Linked DNA regions of Oreochromis niloticus. The main gene of each other region encodes a partner of the protein of the gene in region 2 in a complex. Links are inferred from orthologs where the notes say so. Each region holds a gene or a part of one and is shown on either strand. Other genes may lie near its edges.

What was found.
Region 1: the proteins of irf2bp2b (region 2) and irf2b are in contact, whole or in part, in a crystal structure (PDB 8YTG), measured with the Homo sapiens proteins. The link is inferred for Oreochromis niloticus from reciprocal best matches to the Homo sapiens genes IRF2BP2 and IRF2. Residues at the interface, in NP_892017.2 of Homo sapiens: His517, Phe518, Val519, Gln520, Pro522, Phe531, Leu557, Trp564, Ala565, Phe566, Met567, Glu570, Thr573, Ile574; in NP_002190.2 of Homo sapiens: Arg331, Ala332, Ser333, Val334, Ile335, Lys336.

The regions. Positions count from the first base shown.
Region 1 is NC_031966.2:34,358,018-34,365,022, reverse strand, and holds the start of irf2b (interferon regulatory factor 2), read right to left. Parts: upstream 3,008-7,005; 5' UTR 2,803-3,007; intron 2,779-2,802; exon of another isoform or gene 2,667-2,778; intron 1-2,666. Other genes in the region: caspase-3, read right to left, coding at 5,128-5,357. UniProt on the Homo sapiens protein: Specifically binds to the upstream regulatory region of type I IFN and IFN-inducible MHC class I genes (the interferon consensus sequence (ICS)) and represses those genes. Also acts as an activator for several genes including H4 and IL7.
Region 2 is NC_031971.2:4,315,649-4,323,223, reverse strand, and holds the start of irf2bp2b (interferon regulatory factor 2-binding protein 2-B), read left to right. Parts: upstream 1-4,496; 5' UTR 4,497-4,761; coding exon 4,762-5,527; intron 5,528-5,846; coding exon 5,847-6,589; 3' UTR 6,590-7,575. UniProt on the Homo sapiens protein: Acts as a transcriptional corepressor in a IRF2-dependent manner; this repression is not mediated by histone deacetylase activities. Represses the NFAT1-dependent transactivation of NFAT-responsive promoters.

The sequences.
Region 1 (7,005 bases), on a different chromosome or scaffold from region 2:
AATGCTGTAATACGTGATCTGCTGTGGTGCTCACTGTGCCAACAAGAGCCAAAACATCTTGTTTCACACAGGATGAACTGAGCGGCTGCACCAAGCCAACGACAAACAAGAACGATTCTGAACCATGAATCATCCAGAGCTACTCAAGTAGAGCTGGAAATGAGCATAGCAGGCCCCCCACTGATGTTTTTTCCCCATTCATAGTCATCATTTCAGAGTAAGGTGTGGAACACAGTTGAATCAGATCTGTGTGTGCTTGTAAAGATAAGACTCTTGGCCAGGCTCTTTAATGTGTGCGCAAAGAACAGCAGCCATAAAACACGGTTCATAAATAAAAATGTCAGCTCATGTTTGTAGCTCTACACTCAGCCTCGCGCTGTTTGTTCCAGAGAACGACACCTTAAATAAAACAACAATGGAACAAGAGGACAACAGGAAAAAACAAACAGAGCTCATAACCGTCCCAGAAAACTTTAGCCCACCCATGCCGCTACATTTGATTTAAGGGCAGGGTGATGATCTCTGCACACAAACGTGATCAAAGTCCAGTCAGGCTGACACTCCCTGCCAGCGCAGTGCTTCCCCAACAGGTTAAACAAGGTGAAACAGCGCAGCATCAAATCCAAAATATCAAACAAGGCTGAGCCTTTCAGCTGCGTCTGTTCAGTGAAAGCTCACAATATCACTACAGAAAACACAAGCTGAAAAAGACACAAGGAGTGCAGTACAAATGGCACACATGGCCAAAACACAGGGCCCACGTCCCACTTCAACCCAGCCCCTGGTGCTCGAAAAGGAAAACTAAACAACCCCCGCAAATATCAATAAGAGGCAGCTTTGTGTCACCAAATCTCAACACAAATGACTTCAGCAAACACAAACTGATATTTCACCTTTAAAGTCCGATCAGCACAAAGCTCTCGGTGGTTTGCACACCTGAAGCATCTTTGACTTGCTCACTGTTTACAACCCAGTCAGACTGCCATCAGGTGCAGGGCAAACGCTCCTACAAGCAGATCCAAGTATGCTGCGGGTGCTTTCAGGTACTGCTGACCTGAGATCAGTTACACCTATGCAAGCATTCAAAAACAGACTCAAAACCTTTTTGTTCGTGCAAGCTTACACTTGTTTACTTCAAGGCACTGTAATCCTACAGTTTTTTTTTAATGTTTTTTATCTCATATATGAAGCACATTAAGTTTACATATGATGAAATGTGCCACTGCTGTTTAACTCAGTTGCAACAGGGGGCGCTGCACTGATCACTGTGCAAACAAACTGTGCTGTGCGCTTCAAAAGCAGACTTTTGGTGATCTTGCAAAGAGAGACGACAGTCTCAGGTGTTCCCAACAGACTACATGACACACGGCATCAGTTAGAAATCATTCACACAGGTTACTTACAGTCACACGAGTGACTCAAGACAGGAAAATGATTTATTTATTCACAGATAAGACTGCTCATTATTTCATAAATAGTAAAAACGACACAGGCATCTCTTCATCCTCATTTATCACCCAAGTTCTGACCGCAGCTTGCCTCACACGTTAAAAGCAGCACGCTCACATTCACAAATATGAGCATCTCTTTGTTCTTAAATTACATCTGTGGATATTAATATTTTGGTCATTCACAGACATGCAGTTTAACTACAAATATACCTGTAAAAACTTACAGTTTTATGTCAGAGTATCTGACACTGACAGAAGACATTTTCTAACAGAAAGACAATTGAAGAAAAAAAAAAGACCCAGATCTATTTTAACACATTCGCCAAGTTCACTTAACTCAGCACTATTTAATGTTTCCGCTCAGTTTTTCAGTGAGACAGACTACATCTAAGTCCTCTGAGAGAACAGCACATGGTGTGAATACATTTCAACAAGCAGATGTTTAATTGGTGGAAGAGGGAATCATCACAGCGGGACTTTAGGGTTAAATGAATGCGGTTAAACCGTTGACGCAAACTATACTGATTTCTGACCAACATGTCATCACAGTGCGTGGCAATATGTGTGCTTTCTTCTGTTCTTTTTACTAATTGCACAATGAGGAACATTTGCTGCTGATATGGCGGAAAAATTGGATCAAGAAGAATTTAAATATGTATTTACACTGTGTACATAACGGTGTCTACACTCAAATATAGTCCAACTGTACATTTAAGAATATAACATTCAATATTATAACATCAGTAGTACTTTTTAAATTATTAATAGTATTACTATTATTATTTCTTCAGTGTATAGCACATTTATTTTTATACTGCTAAACATGGTAAGTTACCCGTCACGGAGTTCAGACAATATAACACTTGTAGTGTTTTCAGTGTAAATGACACGCACTAAGACCTGAATACTGTTCACGGCTCAGTCCCGCTGCTACTCAGATTATAACACGGTAAATACACACAGTTACAAACAGATAAACACTGTACACTTCAAAGAGTCTACGTTATAGCGGGAGGATGCTAGCAAATATTAACTAATTCCAGGTAAACAGCCACATCACCGCTGACTTTCCAATGTTAGTAACATGTTTGTTCTGGAGTCGAGTCTGCTTTAGCAGCGGGGGCAAGTCAGAAGTTTATCGCGCTCTGTGTGTCTACCGCCTGCCACCGAGCTGACCCAAAACAACGAAGTCAAAAGTGAAAATAAATCCCATACCGAGTCATGAAACGCGGAGACAAACTGCAGAACTACTTTCACTTGAGCTAGGGATCCGTCATGTCGCCCTGTAGGAAGTCAGTGTGGCCAGGGGAGCGCAAGGCAGCGACGTTAATATGCGGAAATAAGATGTTACCTGTTAGGTTTGGACGGCCTCGGGCTCCACAGTCCCGCTGTCGGAATAAGAAGAGCAGCCAAAGCCGGACAGGTTAACGTGTTCGAGGTTTTAAGTGGAAAAGGGAAAGTGTGGTCGTCGTTTATTTCTGTTTCTGCATTCAGACCGAAAGCAAAACAACGGCCGCTTCGGGAAGTGGGGGCCAGAGCTGGAAATCCCCCTCCTGCTCTCGTGCTCTCGCTTTGGGTCGGTCTCGAGCGTCGTGAAGTCTCGCGTGCGCTCGCACACGTCGAAGCGAAGATGGCTCACTCCGTTGTGTTTTTTTTTTATTATTATTATTATCTTTTTGGGGGGGCGGGTTATCTGTTTGTTTTTTTGGCGGCAACCATGACATTTAAGATTAGCCTAATGCTCGTAGCTTAGCTTTACTTTCTGGGATAATTATCCGTCAGATTGCACAGGAGTCACGTGCTCTGATACAGAACAGCGTAGGATAGAATCACCTAAAAATAAAATTGGTCTAAATTCTAGTATTTACCATTCACCTTGCCACGCCATTGCAAAACACCAACATTAAACGTCTGCACGTCTGGGATATATATACATAGCTCAGTGACTAGTACCTGAATACATCAATGTCCTAGCCAACTGTAGCAAATACGTGTTTAAATGTATAAGCAGGTTGACACACGGCGGAAATGACCGCCCCCCCGGAACGTTTATTCTTAGGACATAGACGATCTTTGAGCTGAATTTCATTTTCACTTCCTCTGTGTCTCTCTCCCCCCCGTCGCCCCCACATCTCCTCTTTTTTCTCCGCCGCTGCAACTGGAAACGAAACTAGAAACTTCTCACAACCGTGTGTGTGTTTAAGGGGTTGGCAGCAGCACACCTGCCGTTGTGTGGAAAGGACACCTTTGTAATGTCTCTCCTCTAAGTGTGTAGCTGTGGCGGTGGGGTCCCAGAGTCAAGCTGCAGTTTAGAGTAGTGCACGCAGTGATTCCGTTCATTCTTTAAAAAGGAGAATCGAAACTGAGCTGTGCAGTTTCACATGAAAATGTCTGCAAGCTAGCAGCAGATCGACAGATTCCCAACACAGCAGCATGCATGTATGCATGACATGTGTCTGTTTTTAATGGAAACTCTGAAGATAAGGCTTCCACTGGCACACTCACACGTACTGAAATTCCCCATTCATTAATGATTGTTACATTTGGTGTCATTTGTGCTGCCGGTGACTCACTCAGCACACTGTTTCTGTTTACAGCAAAGAGAAAACAGCTTTGTCAAAATCTGGGAATGGAAAACGCGATGTCTGAGAAGCTCCAACCTCCACAATTGATCCTCAACAAATGGAAAGTGTGTGCCAGCTCTCCACAGGGTCAGGGTTATCTCTGTGACACACACAGCTGAGCCCGGGAGGGGTCTGACAAACCTATCCAAGGAGTTTGTATTTCACAGCAGTGGGCCCCAGACAGAAGCTGCCTTATACACAGAATACAGATGGTTAAAAAGAAAAACGGAAGAATTAGAAAAAGAAGAAGAAGAAGCTGACAACTGTCTAAACAGAAAGTCTTATTTCTTTTCTCGTTTTCAAATTAGCACTTCCACATGGTCGATGCATCAAGGGTTAAACCGGGCCACAGTTTCAGTTCCTGGAACCTCTGCAAAACTGCTGAGTCATTAAAGGCCTCTGAGAATCACATTAGTTGTTTCTCTGGCCTCCTCTAGTGGCTGCATGTTCACACAGTTGGTTCAAAATACAAAACATCTGGCCTGTCACATGGTCAGCTCCGTGAGTGTGTGGACTCCTGCTTCTGCACTCCACCAGAGCGGACTTTAAATCAAACAAAGAAGATGTGACTGAAGTGCGGACCTTCAGCTTCAATTCAAGGATTTTAACACATGTATTGAATTAAATGTTTTACACATAACCTCCCATTTTCAAAAGCTCAGAAAGAACTGATGATTCAAAGTGTTGAACCTGAGTTTGGTAGATGTTCACTAGAACTCTCAATATGAGGTCCAAAAACATGCCCTTGTTAGGCCAACAAAACATAAAAATACGACAGATGGCGAAAACATGTGGAGCGCCCAAAACTGTCGCAACACTGTTAATGGTTTTTTTCACTTTAATACAAACATACATAAACACACAAAATATAAAAGGTAAACTGATCCAACACTAAAATCAATAAAAGTATCACTAATCTAAGTGCAGATTGTGCAAATGGGTTTAGTCACATTTAAATCACTGTCATCCTGCTTTGCATCAGCTGCAGCACAGCATCAGACTTTGCATTTGGTCAAGGAGAACAAAGATCACTGAGGTTCAACCATGTAAATCTAGACGGGGAAGTAAAAGTCTTTGGTCAACATACAGACGATACAGGGGATCTGCTTATTGCGAGCAAATCCAGGCAGGTTGCTGGAGGACTCGAAGTAGCGTGAAACACCGTAGTTGACTCGCGTCATGATCTGCATCAGATCCAGCTTCCCACTGTAGCACTCCAACATCTCACACAACGTCAGTATGAACCAGGAGCCGTAGGTTGTGTTTCTCCATGAGTAGTATCCTGCAGGAGGGTGACAGTGTTAGTGCTCTTAGAAAACAACAACGAGGAGGCGATCGTTCACTATAATACACAATCCTGACACTAATAAAGTAGCTGGACTGGTGACTGTGACAAAACAATGATCTATGGGAGGGCATCTGTTTAGTTCAGTTGTGTGTTTATTATTACTACGATGGTACTCTATTTAATTTAATATCATTTTATGCAGTAAAATATCAATAGAACTGATACTGGGGCTGGTATTGGATCGATACTAGCCCGATACGCTCAATGCTTTAGTTTGTCTGTCCCCTGTAAGTTGCTCTCATTCATCAGAAAGGAGACGTGTGTGGAAGCAATGCTCCTCTCATGCAGGCACGCTTTGCTCCGCCCCCTCCTCCCTGCTCTGCTGCATTCCGATCTCCTGTGGTCATGTGACTCAGCAGCATCAAGCAGAGCCATGTAGGTTGCAGTGAGTGAGAAAGCAATGCATTGTTTAGAGTCATTGTGGTGGAGGTGTGGCCTCTGGCCTGCTGCAGAGGAGGGGCGACACAGTGAGCTCACAGGGAGGCGTGGTTGAAACACAGGTGTGCTGGGTCAGGTTAGATGACATCTTCTTGGCTTTTTCAGTGACAGCAGAGCAGAAAAACGTGGAGTGACTGTTTCCAGCGTGCAGAGCACCAAAACAACAGAATCTACTGCCATAGACAATAAACTGAGCAAACTGACAACGCTGTGTGTGTGTGTGTATGTGGTCCTTGCCACAGTCATCTCAGCTGTTACTTTAGCAGACTGATCACCTAAAGGCCGTATTAAGACATTTAATTATACATCCAGCCCACTTAAAATCAGTTAGATAAATGGTTGTACTGGAGCAGAAAAAAATATACCTCAAAAATGAACCATGAAAGACGTCTGAATATAATGAAGTGTTGTATTTTATTCATACAACAAATTAAAAACAGATATTCCAGAGTCAAAATCCATGAAAAGATAAACTAGTTATTGTAAAAAATCACAGAGGTTTAGTGGTCATTAAAGTGTGTCCAGAATTTTTGAAGTGATGATGATTTATGCCATAGATCACAACACTCTGCTTTCCTACATCAGTTGCCTTTTCAAGTTAAAAGTCTCTATATTTGGCACGTAGGTCGGTTTCTGAACTCACGGTTTTCAGAGTTGTGTTTAATTTTTTGGTTTTTATTTCCATTCTTCCTTCAGGCCGTCTGGTTCTTGGTATTGTTTCTGTAAGTCTGGTTTCATTGGGTTTTTTTCCATTAGTATCCTGTTCCTCTTTTCTTCTCAGTTAGAGTTTGTTCTTTTATTGTTATTCATCCCGTAAAGTTCTTGTATCTAAGTGTCTCCCTGTTTCCGTGGCTATCTTTCATTTCCTGTTTTATTTTGGTAGTCATTGTCTCCTGTGTTTTGCATTTAGTTTGACATCTCCTGCGTCATTATCCTAATAGTTTCCCCCTTTTTTTTCTCCGACATGTTTGAGGCATATATTTTAATGTCCCATTTCTGTATGTGGGCACCATACTGAGCTTAAAGCATTGATCTTATCGCAGTAAGCGTGTAAATCCCTGTCTCTCCTGTGTTCTTTATCAAAGTGTCTATTTTTTACCTGCCATTTCTTGTCTTTTAATTTTTTGGAGATTAAGTATTATTT
Region 2 (7,575 bases):
ATTCTATGAACAGCACACATACTTTAATCACTTACACATATAACAACACACCATGACAAAACTCTATTAACCATGTCACAGAGGCTCTTAAAGAGATTACTGAGCTACTGCAGCCATCTACCACAACCAGCTGGGAATAAAGGGAGGAACACGGGACAAAAGGCAAACTGGGCATTTGACTGGTCAGTTAACTGGAGTTTTCCACTTCACGTCAGTTCATCTGTAATTAGCTCAGACCCAGAAAAAGTGAATGCACTTCTAGATTATTTATAATTTTTTGCATAGTTTGAACTTGCACAATAAACAACAATAAACTACACATTTAAAATAACAGTTGAGTGGTAAGGAGGTTATACTATGAGACAGAGCAGGAATTTATATATTTACATCAGTGTTAAAAAACAAAACAAAGACAATCAAAATGAAGTTAGTTAAAAACAGTAAAAGTAAGACTGACGTTGTGTAGGCGAGAAGTGCAGATTGCATTAATGAAAATCTTTTGCCTGACAGGTGTGTAAACCTGTCACAGAATGAAGTTATTCTACAGCTTTATAGAGAATGGTAGGAAAGGCTTTCTAAAGTGTTCTTTATGGCAGCGAGGTTGAATCACTCTGCTGCCTCAGAGGTATGGAGTGGAGTGGGTGTGATGGGCTGTCCCTGATGGAGAGGGTAGGTTCAGTGACCTCCTGCCCCTCACTGACTCAAACATCTCCAAATTCTGACCAATGATGCTTCCAGCCTGCAGATTAGTTTGTTCATCCTGCTGGCATCTCTGGCACTGATGCTGCCCCCCAGCAGACAGCAGCAAACTAGATGGTACTCACTACCACAGAAGAAGATCTCCAACATCTTGCTGCACACATTAAAGCATATGAGCTTCATTAGAAAGTACAGTAATTCTTGATATGTTTAAAAAATGTTCTCTCAAGTTTGGGTAATGAGAGTAGGAATAATCATTCCTACATGCCTGAGTCTACTGTCTACCATGTATAGTCCAGTTTGGAAATCCTTCCCAGATGCCTTAACGCCCACTCACGTCTTGGGCCATTTGTTCTCAGTAAGTCACATGACATGGGTGGGCAAGGTCTCACAGTGGGTTCACCTGAAACCTTGGCTGATTGTGACCCACACCCGTTTTCACACCTTGGCTCGTGTGATTAGCCAGAGGATCAATAGGGGGTCCACGACCCTCTTTGGGACATTCCCAATAGGGCTTACGAGGTAGGGACTCTACACCAGTTGCTCTTAGAACTAAAGAAGCTTCCTGGACGAGAGGTGAAACATCTTCAAGAAAGTTAAAGAAGTCCAGAGACTAAACCTTAATCTGACCTCCCCCTAACCTTGACAAATGTAACTACATGTTGTGTTGTCATAGTCCTCTCATCCATTTCTGGCCTCTCAGCAGGTTTTTAATTAACTGGAAGGAAACAGAGAGATAAACTCCACCAACAGTTAGTGTTTTGGCAGAAAACTGCAGTGCAACAAAGAAACACCACATACAAGTAGAAATGCTTCCAATGGTGTCGGCCACTTGCGTAGGCTCTATGGATTCAACACTGAAGTTAAAGTCTCAAGTGAGACCTCGGAGTGTTAATGAGCACATTCATTTATTTCTTTGTATAGGTTTCCCATCATTCAGATCATGGCAGTCTTAAGCACTTGAGTTGAAAGCAACTGGACTTCTACTTGTTTTTTAGGTTCTTAAGGATGTTTCCCCTACTCCTCCAAAATCTTTGATGAAGTAGCCTTTTGGTTGAGAGGTTACACTTCATGTAACCTTACTGGATTTCAGATCTGCCATTGTCTTCCTCTCCCACTGAAGATTTGACTAAATGCAGCTCATGTTTGACTGTCGTGCAGAATGCAAAGAGTTCTCTGCTCCTACATATTTGCCTACAGCGGCCAGTGTTACACTGGCAAAACAGGATACATTGTTCTGCCTTTTCCCTCTTACTTTCTTTCCCTCATTGCCTCCATCACTGACTGAGTAAGTGAGACACGTCATGATGTCTGTAAGCCTGACTGGAGAGATGATGATTGTAGGGTCTCTACCTTACAATGTAGAGGCGACTATAGTTGTGATTTGCCACTAGATACATAAACTGAATTGAGTGAGTCTTGGCCAACAATTCTTGCTTTTGGGACCAAGGTCACCTCTTTAATCATAATTTAATGCACAGAACTTCTAGGCTCAGCCAAGTAGGGGCTGACTCTGGTGGCTTATCTCTGCTAAATCTCTGCATTTTGCAGATGATATGGTTCCTTTGGACTCCTCAGGCTGTGATCTTCAGCTCATACTGGGATAGTTTGCAGTCAAATAGAGCTAAAATGGAAAAAGAATAGGCTGGTGGATGACCAGTCAATCGTTTATGTTCCTATGTTGTATCAGTCTGTGTTTCTACCCTGAACTATGGCCATGAGCTGTGGATGGTGTCCAGGACATGCTGGAGGGATTACATCTCTTGGCTGATTTGTGGTGTCCACCCAGTAGATCTGGAGATGATGACCAGGAAGAGTGAAATCTGGGTGTCACTGTAGAAAATAGATGGATAAATGGACATCTATATGATGTCTCACAGGTGTTTTCATCACCAGTTTTCTACACTGTACTTAATTCTAATCAATTATGCTGATTATCCTGTGCCTTTGGGCTTTACCTGCATTTTATAAACTTGAAAATAGATGCTAATTTTAATGCAACTGGATATATTATCACTTTAAGTTTAATGCCTTTCTATTACTACAGTTTTTTAAAATACTTTCCATTTCTATCATATTTTACTTCAAAAAGTAGGTTTTCGTTGAATTACTGCCAGTTGAGTCATTGCTTTCTATTGCTATAACTTGTGTGTGAGGAGAAACTAGAGAGCAGTGGAAGTGATTTCATACCAGTGAGAGGAAAATGATCAGCTCAGCTCAGCAGAAGACTGAATAGAGGGGAGGGAGGTTTACAGTTTGCCTGGTAACAGCAGCTTAATTCTGGGATTGGCTTCTACAGTGGTGATGTCAGATGTGCCTGGCAACGAGACTGGAATGCAACAGAGGGATTTAACACCCACTCAGCGTCACACCGAACTCCTAAACAGAACTGCTTTAACACTGGTTGCCTTGACACTGCAGAGTTGATTATTTAAATCGGAAGATTATTTTTTCACTGTCTACATCTTTGGTATTTAGAAAAACACTTGGAGCCCTGCAAACAAAGATGAGAGCTGAGAGAAAAGAGGTCTCACTCTGCCTCTAATTCCACGCATCCCTTTTGAAACCCAGTATAATATGTCGTGAAGCAGGTCGGCGCCGGTGTCTTTAAAAGCTGCATTTGGATCCACATACAGCCTTGTTTATTATGTTATTGTCTTTTTACATGTGTACACTCATTACACTGAGTTTAAATTACACACACACAGAGGACTGTATTTAACTAGTTGCTGCCATTTTAATATTGTTGTTTATATTTTTCAAGGTTCTACTGATGTATCTCTAATGTTTTGCTATTTTACCACTAATACAGAAAGAGTTAAATTTGCATATTAGTACAACAGAACATGAAGATGGCTTCATCTTTCAGCTCTGAACAGTCCTGCTTTGTAAACACTCAGTGAGGCCTGAGAGGTGTGTTACAAAGGAAGTTCAATACAGCCGGGGTTTCTTTGTGTTAACTGGTTTAACAAAATCTCTCAAGTCACATGGCTCAACGAACACCTTTCAGAAAAACATCCTTTGAATGCAGCTCACTCCATCGAAGACATTATCAGATGATGATAAAGTAGTGATTAAAGTCTTTAAAGAACATTAAAAATGAACAGCAAAAAGAATCAGTGTTGCAATTAAGATAAGAAATTGGTCTGTTTTCCTTCTCTCACCGCAACCAGTCGCAGCAGATGGCCCCGCCCCTCCCTGAGCCTGGTTCTGTTGGAGGTTTCTTCCTGTTAAAAGGGAGTTTTTCCTTCCCACTGTCGCCAAAGTGCTTGTTCATAGGGGGTCATATGATTGTTGGGTTTTCCTCTGTATGTATTATTGTAGGGTCTACCTTACAATATAAAGCGCCTTCAGGCGACTGTTACTGTGATAAACAATATTGAATTGAATTGAAATTAATGACAGAGAAAATCTTTATTCTAGAGATGTAGCGCACAGAGCGATAAAATAAAGCTTTTTCCACTAATTTCACTTGATCATTTTGTGTCTCAGTGCACTCTCAGTGCTGCAGTTTGCTTCTAAGATGATGGCAGCACATTAGCGCTGTGAAACTTTAAATTGCATCCATTTAAACATAAAAGCTTACAGTCCCACAGCCTGGAGATGTGGAAATTACTTCAGTTTGACACAGATCAAAGTGAAATGATTTCTCTAGATTGAATAGCTGTTCAATTTAGACAAATCGCTGCCGTGTTTTATTACGGTCCCAATAAAACACAGAGTGGTCCCTCTTCGCGGGCATACACATCTTCAAGAGTAAACGCTCCGGACAAAGATAGAAAAATGGTGAGCATGCGCGTCGTCGAAGAATCCAGTAAATAGAACCCCGGAGCACGAGCCGAGTGTCGTTGCTGACGTCACGGCCGTACGTTGAGAGCTGGAGCTGAGTTGTAAGCGCGAGCTCAGACGGAGGCGCGCCGAGGGAACAGCTACAGCTATGGTGCTCTGTTCTTCTTCGTGAGGACGAAATCAGCCACTTTTATTCTCGTTGACGTATTTTTCCGTCTTCTCTGCGACGTAAACAAGCTGTCGGACATTTTGAAATCGCTTCGGGGATACAATATGTCCTCCACGGCGGTCGCTGCCTCCAGAAGGCAGTCCTGTTATTTATGCGACTTGCCCCGCATGCCGTGGGCGATGATCTGGGATTTTACCGAACCCGTCTGCCGTGGATGTGTGAACTACGAAGGTGCCGACCGGATTGAATTCGTTATCGAGACTGCCAGGCAGCTAAAGAGAGCACACGGCTTTCAGGACGGCCGCTCTCCGGGCCCGGGGAAACCCCAGCACGCCGGGAAAGAGATCAATCACTCGGTTGGAGACCCGGGCTCCCGTCCCCCTCAACCTCTGGATCGTTATCCGCTGTCAGACAGGCCGCCGCGGCTGGGCCCGGAGTACCAGGCGGGCAGGCAGTCGAACGGCCTCCCGATGCCCAACGGATTTCCCAAACCCGACGAGCCCCCTGAGCTAAACCGCCAAAGCCCCAACCCCCGCAGGACTAGCACGGTTCCTCCCAGCTTGGTGCCTTTGGTAAACGGCGGGATACCTGCCATACATCCGCTCAGCGGCCGCCCGACACAGATCGGTCTGACCGGCGCTCTGATCGCGCCTGTCCCCGGGGAGCACGGCAAGCGCCCGGAGGAGCTGAAAGACAAGCACCGGGCGGACAGCATGTCGGACATGTCGGACAGCCACAAGGACTGGATAAACAAAGGCAAAACTGTCAGGGACCTGATGCTGCACACGTTCGACGGCAGGGTAAAGAAGGACCACACCGCCATGCAGCGGGTCATGGCGTACGAAATGAGTGGCACTTCCTCAAAAACAGGTAGGCTGTTTGTTTTGTGTCTGCACTAGAATGTGGTGAGCTGGCACGCGCCATGAAAACGGGAACTAAACAGCAGGGAACTAATGTGTCAGCACTTTGCACACACGGTGTGTCGTGCATTTACGCCATCGTGAAGGGTCCGCCCAGCCACGCTGCTGGCACGCACCCGTTCACCTCTGTGTGAGAGAGCAGTACGGGAGCAGGTGTGTGTGTGGTTGTTGGGGGGGGGGTAGAAATGAGCTGCCTCGTATTCTGCACAGGCCGGGATGTTTGTGTGTACCTAGCGTGGCGTTAACCCTGCTGCTTTTCCTTTGCACAGACAGGGGGAAGCACCCTCGGCCTGGGAAGAGGAAGGCCTCCCCTGAGCCAGATGGTGAGAGCAGTGCCCCCAAGATGAATGGCAGTGAGGGCCAGCCATGGCTCCCCTCACCCTCTGAAGTCCTGAAGATGCCCCCAGCTGCCCTACCAGGCTTCTCTGCGGCGCCTCCATCAACCATCTCCCCCCACTCCCGCACCACACCGCCTGAGGCTGCCACAGCGCAGAATGGCCAGTCCCCCATGACTGCACTCATCCTCGCCACTGACAACGCAGGCAGCACCGGCTCACCTAAGGACGGCAGCCAGGTACATTCCACCGTGGCGGGGGCACGACGGAACAGCGGGAGCCCCCTCTCACCCTCACAGAGGAGGCTGGCCCAGAGAGAGGGGCCCGTGAGCGCCAACCCCTCCGCTCCGCATGGTCCCGGCAGTATGGAGCCACCGCCGCAGAGCATTCCGGATTCCTCTGTGCCACCGAGCAGCATGCCGCTGTGTTGCACTCTGTGCCATGAGCGGCTAGAGGACACTCATTTTGTCCAGTGCCCTTCAGTGCCCTCTCACAAGTTCTGTTTCCCCTGCTCCCGGGAGAGCATCAAGCAGCAGGGGGCCACCGGCGAGGTGTACTGTCCCAGTGGTGAAAGGTGCCCGCTGGTTGGCTCCAATGTACCCTGGGCCTTCATGCAGGGGGAAATAACCACCATATTGGCCGGAGATATAAAGGTAAAAAAGGAGCGGGACCCTTAAAAAGTTCTCAGACTGCTTCTCGTGAACTTTTTTCCCTCTTGTAACCCAAGTATGGCAACAACAGCAGGACATAAAGTAACAGACGCAGCTCACCCAGCAAACCTCAGAGGAGCTGGCAGACATGTACATAGTGAACGCAGGGGAGTGTATACTTCATAAATGTGGCAGTAAAATTTGACTTTTTTCTTTAATACATTGTTTCTTACTGTGTTTCCAGTAAGACTTTTCCTTTTTCCCACCACAGCTGTTTCTTCTCAGTCTGTCGTTGTACTTTAGGTCTGCAGACAGTCCCTGTCGAGCATAGAATGTGACTAATTTGAGCACTTGGCAAAATCCTTTAATAAATGAAACAAAAAATGCTTCTAGCTGTACATGTATGCACTTGTTTAAGAAAAAAACTTGCCAAATACAGTTTCAGACCTTGTAATAATACCCCCAGTGTCTCTGTGGTTTGCTTATTTTCCATAATCCTGGAGTTGGTCGGAGAGTCATGGCCTGATTGTGAATCAGTCATGATGCAATCCCTCCCAGCAGGAACAAACTGGCTTCCAGGGAACAGTGGGTGGAAGGGGAAAAGTCAGGGAGCGAGGGAGATGGAAGAGGGGGGATGAAGGCCGCAGTAGAAGTGCGTTGCATAAATGTACTGTAAATCGCACGTGGGCGAGCCGAGGCTGCTCGGCGCTGAGGCCTCGTGCCCTGTGAGTGCGGGGGGAGATAAGGAGGGCCTAAAAATAGTCACTGTGGCTTCAAAGTGACGCCTGCTCAGGCGTTTGTTGATGTCAAAACAACTGCCTCATATGTCCTGTTTGGGCACTTTGTTTGGATCTAGAGGTTTTCTCTTTGCTTCTCCCTCATCGACCCAAATCAGCCTGACATCTCGTCAGATGCTGGCAGCAGATCAGAGCTGTTGCTGACTGAATACACGCCCTGATTCCAATGAAAGCACATGGGAGACGTGAGGTCATGAGCGGCGGAGGCCCACAGGG